2 linked regions of the Rhinolophus ferrumequinum genome follow. The protein of the gene in region 1 interacts with the protein of each later gene in a pairwise test. Links are inferred from orthologs where the notes say so. Each region holds a gene or a part of one and is shown on either strand. Other genes may lie near its edges.

Evidence for each region.
Region 2: the proteins of KHDRBS2 (region 1) and PRR3 interact in binary tests that used the Homo sapiens proteins (3 or more experiments, as listed by UniProt). The two-hybrid records come from large-scale screens. The link is inferred for Rhinolophus ferrumequinum from reciprocal best matches to the Homo sapiens genes KHDRBS2 and PRR3.

The regions. Positions count from the first base shown.
Region 1 is NC_046286.1:26,295,585-26,307,032, forward strand, and holds the start of KHDRBS2 (KH domain-containing, RNA-binding, signal transduction-associated protein 2), read right to left. Parts: upstream 4,957-11,448; 5' UTR 4,682-4,956; coding exon 4,591-4,681; intron 1-4,590. UniProt on the Homo sapiens protein: RNA-binding protein that plays a role in the regulation of alternative splicing and influences mRNA splice site selection and exon inclusion. Binds both poly(A) and poly(U) homopolymers. Phosphorylation by PTK6 inhibits its RNA-binding ability.
Region 2 is NC_046286.1:1,190,113-1,201,860, forward strand, and holds the start of PRR3 (proline-rich protein 3), read left to right. Parts: upstream 1-6,756; 5' UTR 6,757-6,784; coding exon 6,785-7,004; intron 7,005-7,652; coding exon 7,653-7,715; intron 7,716-9,612; coding exon 9,613-9,795; intron 9,796-10,137; coding exon 10,138-10,425; intron 10,426-10,681; coding exon 10,682-10,788; 3' UTR 10,789-11,748. Other genes in the region: GNL1 (guanine nucleotide-binding protein-like 1), read right to left, coding at 2,328-2,522, 2,927-3,022, 3,178-3,385, 4,097-4,168, 4,286-4,437, 4,591-4,727, 5,091-5,256, 5,673-5,745.

The sequences.
Region 1 (11,448 bases):
ATTTTCTTACAAAATCAAGCTTCAAGTTGAGGTCAAGTTCACAAATGCCATTAAAATGTTAAGGAAAATCTTGAAAGCATCATCTGATATTTGTATAATTTCTTCTTATGTTTTTGTTATAGTTGAATAAAACTTCTATTTATATTTATATAAAATACTGCTTATATTATCACACACAGCATTTTTTTACCTTAATTGAACCATGCCAAGTAGATGTTAATTTGCCTGTTTTACAGATGAAGAAACTGAGAATCAGAAAGGAAATAAATGATATATCCTATATTTCATAGTAAACAGAAGTTTCAACATTCTGTGCCAAGTATTTTGTTTGCTTAAGCAGAATTTTTCCACGATTTTGTAAATGAGTTTTAATAGCAGATCAAAGATACCTTAAATTTAGTTTTTCTGACAATTTTGTTCTTTACTGAAGAAACGTAAATAAGATTATGCCAAAGATACTGAGAGGAGAAAAAAGAATTACGTTAAAGGAAAAGTCATATGAATATTACTTGATGAGAAGCTGATTTTATAGATTTTAAAGGTATTATACCAATATCTTTACTAAGCTTTATGGAAAATATTTTAAGGAACACAATCTAAATTAAAAAAAAAAATGATCCTTACTGAGAATCTAAATATAGTTAAGTCACTAGAAATCAGTATTTGTGATAAATGTTAATCCCTGTTTCTCTTGTGGTATCAAAAGTTCATCTATATCTGCATACAAGCAGGCCAATCCTAGATGGACTGCCAAGCTTTTCACCAAAATTTGAAAGTAGCACCTAGACTTTCTAAAAATAAATATTTCCACTGTTGAGATATTTGGCAATATTTCGCTTCATCATATGATGATGCAAACAAAACAATGATGAATCTACCAAAATTTGTGAAGAATTCAGGTTACCAAGTCTTGCCAATCAGAGCACCTGGAATACTCTCAATTGGACAAAAATTTATTAATCCTCCTAAAGGTATGGAATCACCATATTTGAATCTATAAATTTGAACAGATCTATGTCTGTCAGCGGACAGGCATGCTTGACAGCAAACAATAATATTTCCATATATATATATATATACATTTGTAGCCCCAAATTATTATGAAGATAATAGTTCTATCGATTTAAGAACATAAATCTGTCCTCAGTACCCAAAATAATGTATATGCATCAAATTACATTATAGTACAATATATGTATTATTAATCATTAAACTAAGAAAGAATAAAAAAAGTTTCAGCCATTGATTTTGGTCTTCTGAATACACAAATACAACTCCTTTGCATCAGCATTAGTCCCAGACTTAATTAGAATTATGGAGAAACATATAGATCATCTAGTCCAACTCCTTAACTTGTGAGACAAGGAATCTAGGTCCATGGAAGGAAAGCTTATCAAGATTCACATGGGGCAAAAGTGGAATTAAAATCCAGGTATCTGGATTCACAGTTTAGTGCACTTACCAGAAGTAGCATAGATATAAATAACCTTATCTAATTTCATCTGGCAAGCAAATTCAGAGGCTGAGTGGAACTTGAAAGATAATGCTGAGTTTGCTGTTTCATCATATGTAAAAACACCTTCCATAACAAATGGATAATTAAATATGATAATCATAGAAGGAAAATTATTTAATTTAATCAAACATATTATAAACACTCTTCAACCATACTATTCAAGATCTTTTCTAAATAGCAATCGAATTCATAAAATGTTTGGGCTCTTTCATTAGCTTTCTCAGAATCATTCCTACTGAAAACACACAGCAGCAACAACTGAAATAAAACAAACCACACACACACACACACACAAATAGCAAAATTACCAACAAAATAGTTCTTTTAAACATGGCCTCCAATTCTAAACATAATAGTAACAATAGAGCACTAATTTGCATCTATCATCAATCACAAAAGCAAAACAAATCATTGTGAAAGCTTATTGGTTTATATCACTGCATATATATATATATATATATATATATATGCAAATATATATAGTGTGCCAAATACACACACAAATATATAGGGTGCCAAAAAAATGTATACACATTTTAAGAAAGGAAAAAACTGTATTAAAAGTATAATACTTAATATATACCGATAATAAAAGATGAATACAAGTCATGTGTATACATTTTTTGGCACTCCGGTATATATATAAGCTTCCGGAAAAATCATTCCGAAGAACTGAATCATCTGGATCATTTTTATTACTCACTCAGTCTTGAGACTGTCTGCACAGTACTGACTGAAATGTACTTCAGTGTGCACCTTCCTTCCAAATGAATATCTATGTCAGGTTTATTTATAGCCACTGCCTTCAATCAGTGCATTTCCAGGTATGAGAAGGAAAATCATCTCAACAATACTCTCTCATACAGATGTGAACCAAAACCTGGAAATCTTAACAAATGGCCTTTGAAAAGGTAATGAAAGATCTATAATGTAAAATGTACATTAAGATTTATTAAAGAGTCCAAAGGATACTCACCTTACCCTCCTTAATAAGCACACATAAAAAGCCTCAGGTAATGAGAGAACGAATTTAAACTTTATGCATCTGTTTGCGTCTCTTTATACCCTTCAAGATTTTTATCATCACCTCCTCCATTCTCTTATCCTCATTATGATTTCTCTGAAATTTAGACACCTCTCTTTGTTTCTTACTTAGATTATTTTCTCTCTATTTATGAGCTTTTCCTCCTAAGGCTTTACAAAAGTAGGACATGCTTCCCCCTACTGGGAAAAAATTAAATTACAAGGTACATCTGAACATGTTCTTAAGTATCAAGAAATCAAGTTCCTAGGAAAGATAAAATGCTTAAAGAACCAGGTGCACAGCCTTCTCTGACTGTTTCACCAGTCGCAGAAATACTTTGCACTCCATTAAGACTTTCTCACATTCATTTCTTTAGCTTGGCCGTTTTAAAAAATACACTCTCATTAGTGAAAGATGAATTAATCACTGAGCCTGCTGCCCCAAAGAGAACTCCAATGAGCAGGTTACAGAAAATCATCAATTTGTAGTATACTGTTTTCATTTTAAAGATATTAATAGCTAAATGAAGATACTTCTGGAAAATATATTGAACTAAGCAATTTGAGAAGGCCTACTTGCATTTTTAATCGTTTTGAACAATCCTAAGCATTTATTAACTCATTAATTTTCCTATGTATTGATGTAATTATCTAATTTTTTAATAGAGGGAGAGTTTAATTTTTTAATTGACTTCACTTTTCTACTTTATTTGCTTTAATTCAGTAACCAAAAAAGTAGTAAGCATAATTACATTTTATCTTCCCAAATACTCTACAAAACCAACTTGTTTCTTGAAAAATAGTTTACTTGTTTCACACATTCAATATTTTGTTTATAAATTCTTTAATTGTTTACTATGAAAAAAGGAAAAACACCTACACATTATTATTGTTATAAATAATAATCTATCAATATAATCTTGAAATAGACAGAATGCCTATTTGAATCATACATGGAGGGTCAGAATTTTTCCTTCCATGTACAACTACATAAGTCTCAAAAAAGAAAACATTTATTTTAATGCTGAAGGGCTGAGGAAGAGGAAGTTGGTCACTTTTAGTTTTGCTATAGGTTAAGCCCATAGCAACCTAAGCTACAAAACTGCATTGTAGTCAAATTGATGATGAAACGATTCATTAATAATGAAGGATTAATAAAAAAAAAAAGCCTGGAGTTTTTTTTTTTTTAAGGTATGTGTATGTTAGTTACTACAGATATCATGAAAATCTTTAGCAGTCCGAAGGCGATATTTCAAGATAAATGATGCGATTTGGCTAATGTTTCTGTCATACAGAAGTTTGTGTGTGTGTGTGTGTGTGTGTGTGTGTATGTGTGTGTGTGTGTTTAAACAACCTTTCAAAGCCATGCAAAAAAACAAGACATATGTTTCTCTGGGGATGAAATCTCCATTAACACTACAGGTACACAAAAGAAAATGCACACTTGGTAAAACAGTTGATCAATTGTGGAGTGTTCCCAGGGACCAGCAACTCGCAGAGTAACCCAATCATCGCACTTCAAATAAATTGATAAGCACTTTAGCCTCTGCCACATTCACAAACATAGACGAACATGAATAGTTTAATTCTAAGCCTTTCCATAGGAAAGACTGTAATTAGACTAAAGGGTAACAGAATCACTTCCCAAATGCAGAAAAAAAAATGCTGATGTGTAACTAAGAAGCTCTTAGAATACTACATTGGTGATCATTTACTTCTAAACTGATTACCCTTTCCTCTGCGAAGTGAAAATATCCCTGTGAACCGCGTTACACTTTATGGTGTCTCTATCAATGATTCTAAAAGGTCACATCACCACTGTCATTAGATCTCCTAGCTTTGATCTTTCCCCAAATTAAAAGGAGCATTGTTGCCCGCCCCAAGAATAGGTTCTGTCCTCCCGAGCTCCGATGCTCAGTCCGCGAGCATCTTCAGGGGCACAGTTTCTGCGAAGGAGACAGTCGTCCCTCCCCAACTTCACTCCCCTTAACCAAGCCGCGGGTGCTATGGGCGGCCGGCGGTTTGTGCACATCTATAGAGGCAAGTCCTACCTTCCGCCAAAAGGCGTGATGCATGCACAAAAGATGGATCCAGGCTATCTTTCTCTGCCATCAGCTCAGGCAAATATTTCTCCTCTTCCATAGCGCGGACTTCGGACAGTCCCCGGGCGAAGCGCAAGGTTCCGCTCGCTCAGACGCAGGGTCGCCGGGCAGCGCCTGGCTCCCGCGCTGCTCTGCCTCTGCCGGGGAGAGGGGATCTCCGCGCGTCCTCACTGGCCCATGCACAGAGCACCTGCAACTCCAGCCGTCGGGCTGCACGGCCCAGCGCCCACACCTGCCCGTCCCTACCGTCGTCCCTGGATCGCGCAGTCCCGGCTCACACAAGCGGCCTTAACTGGAGAGGCGGGAACAGGACGCGTCCCACCTCTGCCAACCACTCATTGGTGGTGGTGCTATGAGAGGCGGGGCCCCCGCGAAGGCCGAGGGCTCTCATTGGGCAGAGCCGCACGTCGGATCGCCTGACTGGCAGGAGGCAGCTGTAGATGGGAGGGGGGCGCAGAAGGTGCAAACGCTTTCTTCTTGCAGACCAAGCCTTCGCTGGTTATTAGGCATGCCCAGTTGTGTGGAGCCCTCTGTGTCTTCAGCAGAGGTGCAGAGGGGGTAGAGAGCGGGAAAAGCACCCGTTAAGCAGAGAAGCTCGGGTCCAAGACGTCAGGGGAAATGGGGATGAGGAGTGCAAGGCTGAGGGGAGGGAAAGCACCAGGGAAAGTCTCAGGAAGGTAGATAGGACTTCACCTGAGTCCCTAAGGCACAGGTGTCTCCTCTCCCTCATGCGGCTCAGACGCACTCCACTGTGCAGGAATCGGCAGCGCACCCAGTCTGGAAACATAATGAAGACTGCGTTTGATCGGCGGCTTGTGTTTTCTAAGAGCCTGACCTACATCTCGGGGACGCTGTAGGATGTTCATTGATAAACAAATAAAGCGGGTCTGGGGCGATATTGTTGTAGCAATACGCTTCCAGCGTACGATCACTGGGGTATTGACTTGATTCTGGTTTTTCTCCCATCCATCCCTCCTCTCCAATCCATCCCTATCTATGGGAGGGGTTCCGGGAGAGGGCTGAATTCTACAACTGAAAAGCAACACAATTAGCCACAATTAGTGAAGGAATTAGGGAGACATGTGGTAAAAGGAAGAGACTAGTTAAACAGGTAACCCCAGTTGCTCAAATTTCCCCCTTTCTCCGTATTTTAGATGTGATAGCCTTTCACCAAGTGCCGTTGCTGAGCTAGTTTGTATCTCTCTCACTTTTATTTAAGGAGAGTCAAATGCTGCAGGTATCAACACTCGAGGCAGTTCCCATCCTTCTCTTAACAATGGGATCTGATAATGCAGCTTGCATGCTTCAATGTTACAAAACTATTGTCTCTTTTCATAAACAATCATTTTATTCAATTCGCCTCTCCCCCCACCATTTTGGTGTGAAAGAATGGGGGCTAACTTTCCTACAAAAAAGCATGCTGAAACTTTTCCAAGTTCTTAATGTAGTCAAATCTTTTCCTTATTTATTTTTCAGGATAAGGTTGGGAGATTATTTTTTACTTATGTTTTACATTTTTTATGTGACTTCACATCCATGATCTCAATTTGTCCTCAAAAAAGCACTCTGTGAAACATGGTTCAAGTATTACTTTCTGTTTTATAAATGTGGCAACTAAGGCACAGACAGACAAGTCAGTAATCCAGAAGTAACAAACATGACTTCTTTCGGCACCAGAAATTGTTCATCCTACCTGGAAGCTGAGTGTATGCTACCACAGGGCCAATGATGAGGGAGTACATGGCTAACAAATATGATCGGGTGGTTAAAAGTTCATGAAATAAACTGTGAGAACTATGACTAATTGATAATTTTATTTTTTGACAGTAGAAATGCTGCCAATCTTCAGAGAGGTGGCCAGAAGCTACTGTAGTGGAGGGTGGGTAAGATGCCAAACACAACTAATAAATTGTAAACACTTTGGAATGAGTATAAATTAGAAAATTTATTGTGCAGTAATTGTAATCACATTTTGCTTTGCATCATACCAAAAGATTAAAAGCATGTAGTGCTTATGGGGCCATGCACAAACCCAGTTTCATGAATCAAAAACATGCAGTAATTCTTGTTACGTCCGGCAACAGCAATTACATTATCTATTCATAGTCCTCTTTTCCATGATTAAAGGTGCAGAAAGAAGATACCATGGAAAGTAGTCCAAGGGTTGACTTTATTATACAATGTCTGTAGATATTCATGTCATTATAAATATGGTAAACTAGCTAGCTAACTTTTATATTCCTAATTATTACCAAAAAATATTTATAATTTTATTTTCTCAGGTAAACTCTCAGCAAACATCTAAATTTCACTTTAAAAGGGGAAATGCATTTCCAAACAGAATATGACTGAATAAAGGTGCCCTACACATACATTTATCCTACATCAGATCCCTATATTTTCAATAGCTGACTCTATCTCACCATATGTTCTCTGCTCGTTTCACATATGAATATTTTACAGTTACCACAATTACACAGTGGATATCCTCAGCACAACTTTATTAATACAAACATTTTATAAACATAAATGTAAATAAATTGAGAGCCTTCTATAGATAATTGTTGAATAGATAGTATCATATGTCTAAACATGAATAAATTATAACTACTGGTAAGCCCACCTCTTTTTCTAATGGTGTAAATAACTTAACCATATTGACCACTGAATTGATTTGTATATCTTAGGTAAAGATTTATCTCATTTTAAACATGAGTTCTAGTCCTGAAAGGTGTTTTTTTTTTGTTTTTGTTTTTGTTTTTTAATGGTATTCCATTTACTGCACTATTATTTCAACAATGGGATATTATGGAACATTTTGCTCCAACCAAACTTGGTTCTGAAGGGTCAACAAGGCATGCATTATAGACTATGTCCTATAATTAATGCACAAACTTTGTATTCAATGCTTTTACAAACCTTTATAAGAAAGGCCAGGATAAAGGGCATTTAATCAGGCTTATCATTGCACACTAACAAAAAAAAATACCCAACCTATAATATTACATAAAACACACAGTTTTTATTTCAGAGTTCTCATCAACTTTAGGGATATGTCACTAGTCTGACTACTTACTCCAAGAATTCATTAGAAGCCACTCAAATAAGAACCAAGGGTTAATAAAATTGTAACAGCCAGATCATTTACACTAAGCTTTCTAATATCCTGGTGCCTGGGACAGAGTATAATGAAGGACTAAAATATTGAATGACTCATTTTCATCTACTAAAGAGTCTGACAGAGTCCATTACATAGGTGTTTTTTAATGTTTCGATTTATTTTAGTTTCACTAACTGAACAAGTGAAATTGCTCCAGCTTCTTTTATAACTTTTATGATATATTTTAGGGTTGCAAGTAGAAAAGAAGAGAATTAGGACTTGGCTGTGCCAACAACCAATAGCAACAGTAGCACATGCAGTGAGAAATCTCTCATAGGTAATGAGTTCAGAGCCAAAATTTATGCTATATGCTAATACGCTACAGCACAAAATGAATATTCACTACTCAAAGCTGGTATTTATACACACACACATATATATGTATAGAACTTTTTTCATATATACATATGAAAGTTTTCTGATTGGAAAAGTTTTTTTAATTATCATATTGAATTTTAACAGACACAAATGTATAATTCAAGGAGAGCAGAAGAGAGAGAAAGGACTGATATTGGTTGAAAGCCTACTAGTATTTTGTTTGGAATATTGCTATTCTGAATCTTCACAAATATAAGACAGGAAGGCCAAGAAAAAAGCTGTTCCTATTCTAAAGTGGCCTAACAACTCAAATAAACCATTTCTGATGTGGAAATTATCTCTGTTTGGAAAACTGACAAAGTTCATCTTGTTATACATCTCTATGGACAATCACTGCACTAACACATTTTGGTTGACGTTGATAGCCGCTGAGGAACAGTTACTGCATTACAGAAAAGGCGAATGAAGTGATTGTTTCAAGGTGAAAGTTATTGACTGTCTTCTTCAAATTAAATCCTTGAATTGTTGAATTGTAGCTCACATATTGATTATTACTGGAGATCAATATATTAAGGTGAAAAATCACATCAGTAAAATATAATGTTTTCATGCACAGCAAATGAAGACCTGAGCTCTGTTGTATTCAGTATAAAATAAATAGATGAAGGCTAAGGAATGATGTAATAAAAACAATCTTCAAGGACACGAAAACTTTTGCCACAGAGGCAGATGTATAAGCAGTCGTTTTATATCATGACTAAAACAAGGGAAGAAAGAGTGGATTGAATTTCAGTTGTATTAGTTTTTAAACATTCATGGAAAGAACCGTTAATATTGGAATAGTGTTTTAAGAGACCACCATCACATAAAAGGCTTTAAAATACTGCAGATACTTGCTATAATTTTTTTTATTATTCTGATCTTTCACATTAAATGATATTGCCGTGCAGGAAACAATCACTGTGAAATCCTACTGTATAAAACAGTTATTACAAAGTAAGTACAAGCCATTTGAAGAGAATGGTAATGAAATTAGAAAACACAGTTCCAGAGACAAGATTTTATCAGCCCAACAGTGAAGAGAGAACAAAATAAAAAAATCAGAGATATAGACATTTTGTAAGATATTGGGTGATAGATTACCACGACCAACCAGGAAAGAGCTAATAAATACCATGAATATTATCTCAATACATGAAAACTGAACATAAAGTATAATCCTAGATTAAATCCTGGGCCAGATTTTGTTTTTATTTTATTTGTTTCTACATACTATAAAGGACAGTAATGGGATAATTGGAAAAATGTGATAAGGTCTATAGTTTTAGTTCACTGATTTTGCTAACTGTATTGTGATTATATAAATGAGTGTCTATGTTTTTAAAAATACAAAATTAAGTATTTAAGGGGGAAAGGGATATCATGTCTGCAACTTACTCTCAAATAATTAAGAAAAAATATATTTATATACAGAGGAAGAGAAAGAAAGAGACATAGAAACAGAAAAAGATGATACAGCAAATATGGTGAAATATTAACATTTGTATAAATTAGATGAAGGGAGTTTTAGATTATCCTATCTTCTTTTCACACCTTTTCCATAAATCTATAACTGCTTTAAAATTTTTTTAAAACTTTAAAAAATCTAGATATTACCTAAAATAACCTCAAAATATTTTATCCAAACCTTGGTTTACTAGTTAGCGATGGAGAGCATAAGCCCATACTTTTATTATGAGACCTATATTATAGCATGCATTGAAATCACAAATTTGGCCACTAATTACCAAATATGTTCTTAATAACTTTAAAAATCTCACTGAAAAAGCAAATATATTACCTACTTATCTCTCTTTTTCCCTAAACAAACATATAATACAAATAATTATGTTGGTTTACTTATTTCCTTTAAAAATAAAATTTTCAGCAATTTACTACAGAATTAGCCATTTTTAGAGAATTTTTTTAAATGAACTATAGGAATAAAAAAATTTATTTTGAATAGATACTAGTATTAACTGTAGCTCTATTTTAATGGTATGGAAGGAAAATGAGAAGAAACTGTTTAGTGTTCATGCATCCTGTGTATAATTGTAGATTTTGACCATTTCATAACATCCCTGTATTTCTGTTTTTACCCTGTGTCTTCTAAGTACTTTTATCCAGTTTATTGGACACCGTAGACAAAGTGCATGCTTCTTTATATCATAATGTGTTCTGCATGCTCCTAAATGCATTTAGTTGCCTGGTTCAAAAACTAAGGGGAAAATGGAAGTAATGGAACATGGTGACAAACGTTGTATGGTACAAGTTGTGGCACATGTTTAGGAGCAGTACATGTTGCCATCTTACTATGGCAAAACTTTGGGAACAGTCACCCCCCCATCATAAAAACACTCAGAAAACTAGGAATAGAAAGAACTTTACGAATATGATAAAAGATAAAAGGTATGAAAAAACAAAAGCTAATATCATAATGAAGGGCGAAAGATTAAACACCCACTAAGATCAGGAAGAAGACAAGTCTGTTGGCTTTCACCACTTCTATTCAACTTAATATTGGAAGCTCTAGTCAGAGCAATTAGGCAAGAATAACAATAAAGGACATTCAAATTTGAAAGGAAGAAGTTAAATGTATATTTATTCATGGATACATGACCCCACATGTAGAAAATCCCAAATAATACATAGCAAACTACTATTAAATTGGTGCAAAGAGGAAAAACTGAGGGTTGCTAGATGGGCGGTGGGGGTGGGGGTAAGGGGGAAGGTGAGGGGATTATAAACAATCAGTAACGACAAGATAGTCATGGGGTTTTGAAAATTAATCTGGGGAACATAATTTAGTGGTTACCAGAGGGTAAGGGGGTTGGGGGGTGGGAGATGAGGGTAAGGGGGATCAAATATATGGTGATGGAAGGAGAACTGACTCTGGGTGGTGAACACACAATGTAATTTATAGATGATGTGATACAGAATTGTACACCTGAAATCTATGTAATTTTACTAACAATTGTCACCCCAATAAATTAAAAAAATAAAATAAAAAAAATTTAAAAAAAAGTAATTGCGATTTAAAATGTTAAAAATAATTGCAAAAACGGCAATGACTTTTGCATCAACCTAACAGAAGTAATAAAAAATTCAACAAATTTGCAATTTTAAGATCAGAACACAAGAAATGTTTTTATACACAAGAAATGAATAATCTCAAAAGGACGTTAAGAAAAACATTCCATTTTGTTAGCATACAAGAGAATAAAATACACAGGAATAAATTTAACCAAGAAGATGAAAGGCTTACACACTTAAAACTATGAAATATTACT
Region 2 (11,748 bases), about 25 Mb from region 1:
GGCACTGGTTGGTTGGTTGGTTGGCAGGCAGAAAAGCGGACGGCGGATTGTGGATCCTACTTCGTGTGTCTCGCCCGGCCGCCAGCAAGAATAGAGTGGTATGACTCCCCTACCTATGGCTCCGTGGGTGTTCCTTTTTGGCCTCGCCATATCCTGCGTTCTTATGTGGGGAGCGGAAGCAGAGACCCCACGTGAGTCCCTGCATGACAATCCCTCAATGGTGCCATTCAATTTTGCAGGTTTTGAACTTTACAAAAATGGAACTGTCTGTCTCGTGTCTCATACCACATTATGTGAGGTTCGGCCATATTGTTGTCCGTTCTCTCACTGGCCTCACTGGCCAATCTGGCTTTCTTTCTGCCACTCCACTGAAACCACTCATGTTCACACTGTCAAGTCCGCGGAGAAAGTCTCTGTTCTCCTCTCACTGGACATGTCATCAGCATTTGATACAGCTGAGCCCTCCTTTCCTCTCCAAACACCTTTTCCATTTGATGTCTGGGACACCCTCTGTTTCCTCCTCCTCTTTCCACCTACATCCCACATCTCATGCAATCCATGGCTTCAAATACCATTTACATCCACCCATGGCTCCCAAATTTAAATCTCTCCCAAATTCAAATCTCCAGTCCTCTTCCCTAAGCTCCAGGCTCCTATACCCACTGCCTATTCAACATCTCCACTGGGATATTTTTTTTAAATATCAAGTTTAGTTTCTGAATCCCCTTCCCTTCCCAGCCCCTCCAAATCTGCTCCTCTCCCAATCTTCCTATCTCGGTATCCCCAGCTGCTCATACAAAAACCTGGAAGTCCACTGAAGTAGCCTTACAACGCTCTCTCTGCTTCCTTTCTTGCCCACCCCCCACATTTATTCTCCACTCAGCAAATAAACTTCTAAATGTGGACATCAGATCTTCATTCCTCTGCTCAAAACCCACCACTGGCTTCTCATCGGACTTGGAATAAATCCCAAACACTTCCCATGACATGGTCCCTGACGACCTTTCTGACCTCCTCCTGTGCTCTCTTCAATCCTCCGTCACTCTGGCTAGGCCCACAGTCAACAAGCTCCTTCCCACCCCAAGCCCTCTCACTGACTGGCCCCTTGGCCTGGAAGACCCTTTCCCCACATCTCCAAACAGCCACTTCTCCCCATCACCCCAGGCTCTTCTAAGTCTTTCCTGGAGGACGCCTCCTCATCCACTTGTTCTCTATCCCCTTTCATTGCCCCTAAATAACATGATTTCAAATGATGAATCAATTTACTCACAAGAAGACAAGCTCCATGAGGGCAGGGACTTCCTGCCACCCTCACAGCAGCACATCCATGCCGTCCCTGGAACAGCACCTGGCACCTGCTGCTCAGCATTTGGGGGATAAATGACCAAGGGCTGGAGGGGGATCCGAACTCAGGCTGCCGGTGCCACAGACTCTCCCTGTCACACCACCTGAGCACAGTCAAGTTAGTGCACAGGCTGCTCGGAGAGGGCATACAGCCTCCTGGGAGGAACAGCAGGGTCTGAAGTCAGGGGAAGAAAGCCAGGGGGGCATGGCTGGAGAGGGAGCAATCTGTCAGCAGTCAGGCAGGTTTTGCCCAAGGCAAAAAGGAAACTGAAAGGTAAGTCAGGAGCATTTCCAACGAACTACTCTGCTCTGCTCTCCCTAATTTCTTCCAGGCTGGGCCTTTTCTGGTTCAGTGATACCTCAGTGCCACAACTTTGCCAAAGTCACTTCTCACCTCCCCCACTCAAATTAAAAGGGGCTCTGGGCCCTAATGAGACCTTCCTTTCTCCCCACCAAGAGCAGAGACAAATGTCTGCATTAAGGCAAGAGTCTCCTTGACAACAGATTTAAAGGATTCAGACCAAGAAAGAAACTAATACTTGTTAAGCTCCCCCTATGATTTCATGGCCCCTCTGCTATGGACTAATTACTCCAACTTCCAGAGTTAACACATACAAGTCACTTAGTCCAGTGCCTGGCACATAGTTAAGTACCACACAAATGTTTAGTTACTATTGCCATTATCACTGCTTGTCAGGCTTTGTTAGGCTCTCTCTTTCCTCTTCCCTTCACTCCTCACATCTGTTCTTTCACTTACGTATCAGTATTCCCATTTTAAAATCCAAAGTACTTAAAACTCAGTGGGTAAATACGTGTTCAAAATCAGTATCAACCAAGAAGAGGTGGGATTTAACTCAGGCATCCCATGGTCCTTCCACTACGGCACATGGCCTCCAGAGACCTGGAGCCTAATGACGTCTGATCAGCTCCCCTCTTTTCCAAACACGGGGGCCGCCACGCCACGCATGGCACTGCTCCCTTACCCACACAGCCGATGGTCAGCACCCCGTCCTTATAGCGCTCCCGGGCTGGGCCGGCCGGCTCCATGGCCGAGTCGGTCTGCTGCTCCACCAGCACCGCGGGCCCATCATCCTCTTCTTCCTCCTCACCGGAGCCATTCCCCCAGCTGGCCCCAGCCACATCCCGGGCAATCTTCTCCCGCCAGCTGCTCAAGTCCACTGCTCAGGGAAGAAGACAAAGAAGGTTCTCCCCAGAGCCACTGTACGTGACGGCACAGACTATACTGCACAGCTGATGGAACTGGTGCCCTCTGGAGTTGAGTAGTGCCAACCTGCACCACAGCCGACTCTCCCCAGCCTTCACTTGACACCACCCTGGAATCACATGCATTTCTCTGAGTTTTCTGAAAAGTCCTGGGAAGCCTGAAGGCAGCGACCCTGGGGCTCCTGCCGACCTGCTACCTCTCCTGTCCCACCAAGTCGGTCTGCTCCCTCTTCCACCCCTCCCCCAGCCTCTCGCCTGTGCCAGGATAGAGGAGCTGACTTCGGAAAAGGTGAGTAAAACGACTCTGGGCCTTGGGTCTCCCGATGACCTGTCACATCTCCCTCTAAGAGGCACAAACCTTTCCCTGCAGTGATGGCTTCACAGGCTCTCAGCAACTGCTCGGGCCCCAGGGCCCGAGTCCATCCTCTCCCCCGCCTCCGACTCTTCTTCAAGACTGACATCGGAGAACACAAAAGGGTTAGCACACCCCACCTGTCTCACCGCCCTTCGGTCCAAGATCTGGTGCCCCCTTGTCAACAAGCATCTCTGCTCTCCCTTTGTCCCCTGCCACCCCATCTCTCCCATGCTGCCCTCCTCACTGCCACTCACCACTACTAGAGTCCTGTGCGGTGCGGGGGTCCCGAGGGAAAGAGGTGAAAAGGACGACATGGAGCTGGGGAAAGTGTTGGTGAAAATAATGCTTCCAGGCGACCGCGAGAGCCGGCGGGGCCAGGTCCACCTTGTTCAGGACCAGCACCAGGCCCAGCCCAAGTTCTCCAGTCACGTACTCGTAAAGCGCTGGTGGGAAATTCACAACCTGGGACAGGGATGGCAAGGGAATGAGCAATGGGAGGTCACCCCAGAGTCCTCTGCCTCTAGCTCAGCAGGCACAGCTTGGAGACAAGACCCTGGAGGTGGCAGATTCTGGGGCAAAACAGGTAAATTAGCTGAATTGAACTAGGAAGACAAAGCAGAGGTAAGAAGCACCTGTGCACCTGCGCAGGCATGTGCGTGTGTGCACGCCGTTACGGATCTGCAACCTGCATATCCCCACAGACCCTCCCTTTCTCCCACTGGAGGACAACAGGAAGTGGCAGAGCGGGGTCACACAATGGCCATCCAGCAGCAGAGTCTGGAGCCTTAACCGCTACCCCAGCATTCCAGGTCAGCCTCGTGCTGACTAATGGGCAGGGCACGGGAAAGCCCCCAGCTGCTTTCATGGAAGCCCCTAGAGCTCCACTCTAGGACCTTCTGTTGGTTTAACTCTGCTGGGCTGGGAAACAGGATGTGTAGTTTTTCATCAAAAGAATAAGAGAGGAGAGTCAGTTAGCCAGGGAAGGAATGACAGTCTGGGACACTGGTGAGTAAAGGACTGAAACCCTGACTGCAGACATCAGCACGGGGTACACGAGAATGTGAAGGAAGAAGGATACCTCTTTGTCTCCCAACTCCTGCCTCTGCCCTTGACCCCACAAGAATGTCCCCCCACCCCCACCTCCGGCTTTCCCAGCCTTATCCCAGTACTCACTGGGTGTCGGATATCAGTGATAAGCAGGACAATGTCAGACATCTCTAACACTCGCCACAGCTGCCTCCACGTCTGAAAAGACAAGGTCAGCAGAAGAGAACCTGAGCCCAGAGTCCCTTTCCTGCCTGACGCCAAACCAATCTGACCCTGGGTCACTACACCCTATTCTTGTCCCCACTCCATTCTCACCTCCAGATTGTGCTCAAAGTAGCTGAGTTTCTCCAAGGTGTAAGCCCCATGAATCTTCCCAAGATATTCCTGGAAGCTCCGTTCCTCCTGGCTCATTAGTTGCTCCTTGGACATCTCATAGCTCCAAGGAGGACGTCGGGGAAAGTCCAGGACTGGGAAATCAATAAAAAGCCCAAGGGAGTCTGAGGATCGTGTCAGGACTGCAGGGTGCATCCCAAACCCCTCCTTCCTCACAGTCAGCTTTCACTCCTCCACAGCCCTTCCCCCAGCCCAGTGCCTATCACCAACAGCCAGCTCTCACCCACCTGAGCCAGGCTGGTAGACCTCCCGGATGTCCAGCTCCAGCACTTCAGCACTGACAGGCTGCAGCACTTGCTCCCGGGCTGCTCTCTTTCTCCTCTCCACCTCCTCCCGGCTGTCCCTCTCAAAATGCAGCCGGTATCTAACGGGACAAGGACCACAGCATCCATTACAATCCTGTGGCCACAAAAAGACTCCCCTCTTGGGCAGACAACTTACCAAAGCTTTCTCTCCAAGGTTGTCCTTTGAGTAGGCCCTCCTCCAACTCCCTCTTTCCCGCAATATTCAGCCTTCCCCTAAGTCTTGTACTTCTAAAAGCCAAGCTCTCTCCAGCCCCTCCGGAAGGGAAGATTGTGGCCGCTCCCTGGAGCCCAGTGCCCGCGGAGAACTGTGGCATCCCAGCCACACCACCTCCAGTTTCAAGCCAGCGGCTGCTGGCTAGCCCCCAGTGCTCTGACTTTCTGGTAGGCGGGGAAGGCCAGGCCAGTGCCCCCCGCCCACTCACCGATTTGGGTCATAGCCTCGCGGACCCAGCCCCTGGGAAGGCTGCTGGTTGAGCCTACGGATGTGATGGGTCACAGACTCCCCGTCCGAGGTGTCGGTCTGCTCCTCCCGCCGCTCCCGACTCCCGCTGCGGCTGTTGGAACTGGATCGCAGCCCATCTTGAAGCCCTGAGGGGAGGAGCCGGTGACGCCAGTGCTGCCCGGCTCTCAGGGGCCAAAAGACCCCCTCCCCGTTGGATCTGGCTTCCCCTCACCCCACCCCACTTCTTCAGAGGCCCGATTCTCCCAGCCACCCTGCTGAGGACCCTCCTAGATGTGCGTGGGGGTAGTCACTCCTCCTCCAGGGATCTGCAGGGATGTTGCCCGTTCGAGCTGGAGGGATTCCCCTCCCCCAACTCCCCATCTTTCCCCACCCCTTCCATGTAGGGGGACTGGAGTGAGGGAATCCCCTCTGCGGTCACCCGCGCGCGACGGCTCACGGCCACCACCCCCTCCCACGCCCCCCAGAGGCGCGGCGGGCACACCCCTCCTTTTAGATGTGCGGGAGCCCGAGCCCCGCCCCCTCTTCTCTCTCCCGCACTGACCTCGCTTCCGCTCCCGCTTGTCCTGCAACTGCTTCTTCTTCTGCTTCACGCTGAAGGGCTTCTTCCTCGGCATGGCCCGGACCAGTCACCTGGCCCTCCCTCCGCCGAGCTCCCGCCGCCTCAACTGACTACACCCTCCCCGGGCAGTCCCCGCCGCAAGGGCCCGGGACCCTCGAGGGGGCGGAGCTAGAAGGTGACGTCAACGGGCGGGCCCGGCCGATTTGCCCCAGTAGCTGGGCTGGAAGGAGGAAGGGGGGCGGAAATACAGTCACTTCCCTCCCGGAGCTAGGCGAGATGATGTCGGGTGGGCTCCCCGCATGTGAGAGCCGGGGGCACGGAAAGGGCGCAGCGGCCGCGAGGAAGGAGGCGCGCGTGGGAGGATCGGGCTCGCATCGTCACGGACGCTACCAACTCACGGTCGATAGAGGGGGGACGCGTGTCACCACCACCTGGCGCGTCTGGTAGAAGCTACCACTCACCTGGAGGGGGCGGTGGAGCGGGGGGCGGGTCCTACCACCTGCGGGAAAGAGAGGCGTGGACGCGCCGGAGCTGCTTTGCCTGCCCCCGGGCTTGACCTGGAGTGGAAGCCGAGGCTGCGCGCGGGGGAATGGAGCCCAGTTGCTGTTTTACACTGGGGGCAGGGTCAGAGGTCTTGAGGATTGGTGGCGGTCTGAAGCGTCCAGGACACCGCCCTGCTGGGACCCAAATTCCTGGTGGAGGATAAGAAGGAGCAGGTTTACAGATCACAGGGCAAGGGTGGGTGAGGAAGGAAGCCCTGGTGGGACAAGGACTTTGGGGGGAGGTCAGAGGTCACGAAGTTGTGCCTGCTGCTGTTACCATAGTAACCGGGAACCGGATGTGGCGATCTTAGCGTGCGACAGCCCTCTTCTCAGACCTTCCCGCCGGAGAGCCTGAGAACTGTGTTGCACACTGTGGAGCGCTGGTTGTGGAGTTTTTTTCAGCGAGGGGAGAAGAGAGGAATTTTTTAAAAACATTTATAGAAGCGCAACGAAGGGAAAGTTTGAGATTTACGCCTTCTGGCAGAAACAGAGGGTGGCAGCTTACGTGAAAATGAGCTGCACAAAGGCTCCCTGCAGCCTTCCGGAAGTTAAATGGTGGGAGCTTCAGCCTCGGGTCCACAGCCCCCACGGAAGCGGAAACAGAATCTCAGCGTGCCCCTTCCTCACCGTCTTCCAAATCCCGCTGCAGCCATTGCCGCAACCACGATGCCGAAACGAAAGAAGCAGAATCAGCAGCAGCAGCCGCCGCAGCAGCAGCTCCCACTGCTAAAGCGGGAAAAGACTGAAGACGAAGAGGATGGGATTCCCATCGGTGAGGAGCCCGGGAGGAGTGTGCACATTTCTGCCAGCGGTCGGGGCGAGGGGTTAGGGGCTGAAAAGGTGCGAGGAAGTGGGCTCCAACGGAAGGAAGAAGGGCGCACGCGCTGGGGCAGGGGGTGGAGGGCCTATCCCGGATGGAGCCTTGAAAGAGTTGAACCCTCAACTTCAATCTGGCCTCTAAACCTTTCTAAAGAAGGCAGGGGAGGACAGGATAAAGAGCTCGGCCCTAGAGAGGTTGCAGGTTGCATGACCAGGATAATTTGTGTCCAGACTTTCACAGGGAAGGTGGAAGTGTATCTTTCTCTAAACTACAGGGGCGGAGGGGAGCTATCTGGCCAATTAGAGAAGGGTTGGATTACCTCTGGATGTTTTGGGTAGCAACAGTGTCAGGGAAAGAGTCGTAGGTAGGTATTCCTCCCGCATTATCCCCCTTGACCGAGTCTCCACTTCTTGCCAATCAATCCTGAACACTTTTGCAGAGGAAAGAGCAGATAGATGGGGTGAAAACCTGTAACACAGCTGAGAATATACCTGGTTTTACTGGTTGATTTAAGAAATGAGTAATAGAATAAAAACTTAAGAATAGGATCATCAGTCCTTTAGTCCATTATGATGACCATATTTTCATGTCTACTCTTAGGACCACCCAGCCTTCTGGGCCCTCCCCCCATGGCCAATGGAAAGCCTGGTGACCCCAAGTCAGGTGAGGAGGAAGGGGCCCTGATCTTTTTATTAGGTCCTGGAAAAGGGAGCAAGAGAGGGACTAAAACCCAGGAAGGACTTAAAATCAAAAGATCAGAATTTAGTACCTAAATGAATGAAGAGATGTTGTATATTCACAGATTGGAAAACTCAGTGTTGTAAAAAATGTCGATTCTTCCCAGATTGATCTGTTGATTCAATGCATTCCCAATTATAATCCCTATTTTGTGTGTGTGTGTGTGTCTGTGTGGAAATAAACATTCAACATTATTATATGGAAATGAAAGGATCAGGGTAAGAGATTGCAAAGGCAGGCTTGAAGTGCGAGGGGTTGCTGTGAATATTAAGACTTATTGTAAAGCTATAGTGGTTGTGACGGTGTAGTGTTGGCGCAGTGGTAGACACATGAGTCAATAGAATAGCATAAAGAGTCCAGTAACAGGCCCACACATACGCGGACACTTCATTTATGATGAAGATGGAACTGACATAGTGGTCTTTTCAGTAAATAATGCTGGATTAATTGGATATTCGTGGGGGTGATGAAATTTGACCTATTCATACCATATGCAAACATCAATTCCAAGTGGACTCTAAATCTAAGTGTAGAGGTAAAGAAATAATTCTAGAAAATAAATATATTTCATGGTCTTAAAGTAGATAAGAGTTCTTAGATAGGAAACACATCAACCATAAAGGAAAGATTTATAAACTGAACTACACTAGAAAATAAAAACTTCTATTAATCAAATGACACTATTAAGAAATTAATAGGGAGCCATAGAGTAGAAAATACTCGCAACAAATGTAATCAATAAAGAGCTTGTTCTAGAATATATATAGAAGTTTTCTAGACAAACTGTTAGAAAAATGGGCAAAAGACCAGAATAGCCACCTCATAACCGCAACCTAAATGACCCAAAAAACATGAACAAGAACATTAGTCGATAAATAAATGCAAGATAAAAACATACGACTTTGAAATTGAAACGCTTGTGCACTGTTGGTGGGATTGCACGGTGGTACACAATGAAAAACAGTATGAAGGTTCCTCAAAAAATTAAAAATAGAATTATCTTATGAGCCAGCAATTCTACTCCTGGGTCTTTATCCAAAAGAATGGAAAGCAGAATCTTGAAGAGATATTTGCATGGAAGAGATTGTTCATGGCAGCACTATTCACAATAGTGGAGATGGTAGCAACCTAAATGTCTGTTGACAGATGAATAGCTAAACAAAGTGTATGTTTATACAGTGGAGTATTATTCATCCCCTCAAAAGTGAGACAGTCTTGTCACATGCTACAGCATGTATGAACCTTGAGGCCATTATGCTAAGTAAAATAAGCCAGTCACAAAAAGAAAAGTACTGTATGATTACACTTAAGTGCAGTATCTAAAGTAGTTCAATTCAGACACAAAGAAAATGGTGGTTGCCAGGGGCTGGGTGGCAGTGGAAGAGGAGTGTTGTAAGTAGCTATAGAGTTGCAGTGTTGGAAGATGAGAAAGTTCTGAAGATGTGTTGCACAACAATGTTAATTTACTTAACACTACTGAGAGGTACACTTAAAAATAGTTAAGGTGGTAAATTTAATGTTACATGTTTTACCACAAATTAAAAAACAAAAACAAAAAATACTTCACACTCAACAGAATGGCAGAAATGAAAAAGATTGATTAATACCAAGTGTTGTCAAGGCAATGAAACAACGAACTGCTGGTGGCGGTATAAATTGGTACAACCACTTTGGGAAAAGTTTAACTTTATCTATTAAACTTGAGCATACATATACGCTAGGACCCAATAATACCTCTCCTAGGTATATATACTCAACAGAAATGCATACATATGTGTAACGACATGTACAAAAATGTTTATAGCAGCATTTTTCCTTATAGCCCCAAACTGGAATCCACCCACATGTCCACCATCACTAGAATGGATAAATAAGTTGTTGTGTGTGCATGCAATGGGATACTACACTGCACTGAAAATGAACGAGCTCCTGCTACAGGCAACTTGGATGAATCTCACAAACATGATGTTGAGCGAAAGGATCCAGACACAAAAGAATGCAGACTGTATGATTCCACTTATGCAAAGTTCAAAACCAGGCAAAAACTAACCTGTGGTGCCAGAAGTCAGGACATTGGTTACCTTTGGGGAGGAGGGTGGGTGGTGGGGGAGGAGGGGCACAAGGGGGGGGTGACTTCTGAAGTGCTAATGAGGTCCTATCTCTTCACCTGGGTGGTGGAAACACAAGTATGTTTACTTTGGTGATAATTGAGTTGTGCAGTTGAAATTGGTGTATTTTTTTGTATGTATAATGTGCTTCAATAAAAAGTTTTTAAAAAATCAAGGCTTTTTTATCAGGAATAAGCTGGCCATTGATCACCTTTCCATGGCTTTCTCTCTCTCTCTAGCTCTTCACAGAGGTCCTCCAGGATCAAGGGGACCGGTGATTCCACCACTGCTGAGTCTCCCACCTCCTTCCCGGGGCAGAGGCCCGGTTTGGGGAGGCTTAGGCCCCAGGTTTGGCCCATATGGTCGTGGTTGGTGGGGGATCAATGCTGAGCCTCCTGTTCCCGGACCAAGCCATGGTCCTTCCAGGGGAGGCTTTCACAAAGAACAGAGACATCCTCGAAGGCTCAAAAGCTGGTCACTTGTCAAAAATACCTGCCCACCCAAGGATGGACCCCAGGTTAAGGAAGGTGAGGTCCATTTTTTTTATGCCTGTATACATTTAATATCCTGCACTCCCAAAGTGACCCTGACTCTTCTCTTTGGGGCTGTCCTTCTGAAGTAGGAGTAGGCCAGAATGTTTTTCTCCCCGGAGAAAGACTACCATTCTAAAATATCTGGAAATGGTAGAGAATAGGAAATCAGACCACCTTCTCTAGCTCTGCTTTCTCTTACATTTGTTTTCTTTCTTACATTTTAAATTGCCCGATTTTCGGTTATTCACAGACAAATCTGATCGCCCTGTCTGCCGACACTTTGCCAAAAGGGGCCACTGTCGATACGAGGATCTCTGTGCCTTCTACCACCCAGGCGTCAATGGACCTCCTCTGTGAGAATGTGCCTTCCCGTCCAAGCTGGAAGGAGCCCTCTGTGACCTAGCGGCCATGTGTTTGCCTGGGGCCCTGTGATGGCTCTGTGAGGTGTTCCACCCACCACCCTCAGTCAGTGACGCCTGCCCCGACCCATCACTTCCGCGTTTGGGGTCCAGAGTTGTGTTTCATCAGTGGTGCACAGTGTGCACTTTCTTCTGGTTCAGCCTCCAGGGACTCGCCTTCCGGACCCCATCTTGGCTGCCTTTAGAGGCTTCCCCTCACCAACTGACTGCTGAACAGGAAACCTATTTGGTGCTGTTTCTTGTGCATCTGTCCACCCAGCCCCCAGTATTGCCCTCAATTCCTGAGCCTTGGAGCAGTTTCCTACCATTCCCTTCTTCTAGCTGCTTGTTTGAAGTCCTTTCTATGTGACGCCCCCTACTCCTTGTGGTGTCAGCTGCTCTGTGAAACTCACCAGGTTGTCTGACCTGGGATCAAGTTTGGGTGACTGGTACAGAGTCACTCCATGGAGGCCACGCTCCCTTTTTTTTCGTAGTTTCTGCATCAGTAGCGTGATCCCTGCTGCTGTGGTCTGTGATCACTGTGCTTTGTGAAACTGTGCATCCCCTTATAGCCGTTCTCAGTGTCCATGGCATTTTTGTGACTTCCCAACACTAGAATATTTCTGCCAAAATGAGGGAGGCTCTTGGTGCCCTCTAGTTTTTCCCCCACCTCCTAACCTGGGAGAATTGTGAAACTTTCCACAAGACTGCCTCCCTGGTCCTCCCCATTCCTCTGGGGTTGGTTTTTATGGGTTTCACACAGACCTGTGAGATGTCCTCTCAAGCCTCTGATGGGCCTACCCTATCTCCTGTCTCCATTTTCGTTAGACTTCGTCATTGTGAGGCTGCCAGCCTGTTCATGTGAATTCTGTGAATCTCCATCTGGCCTACTTTTGGGTAGAAACTGTACAATACTGTC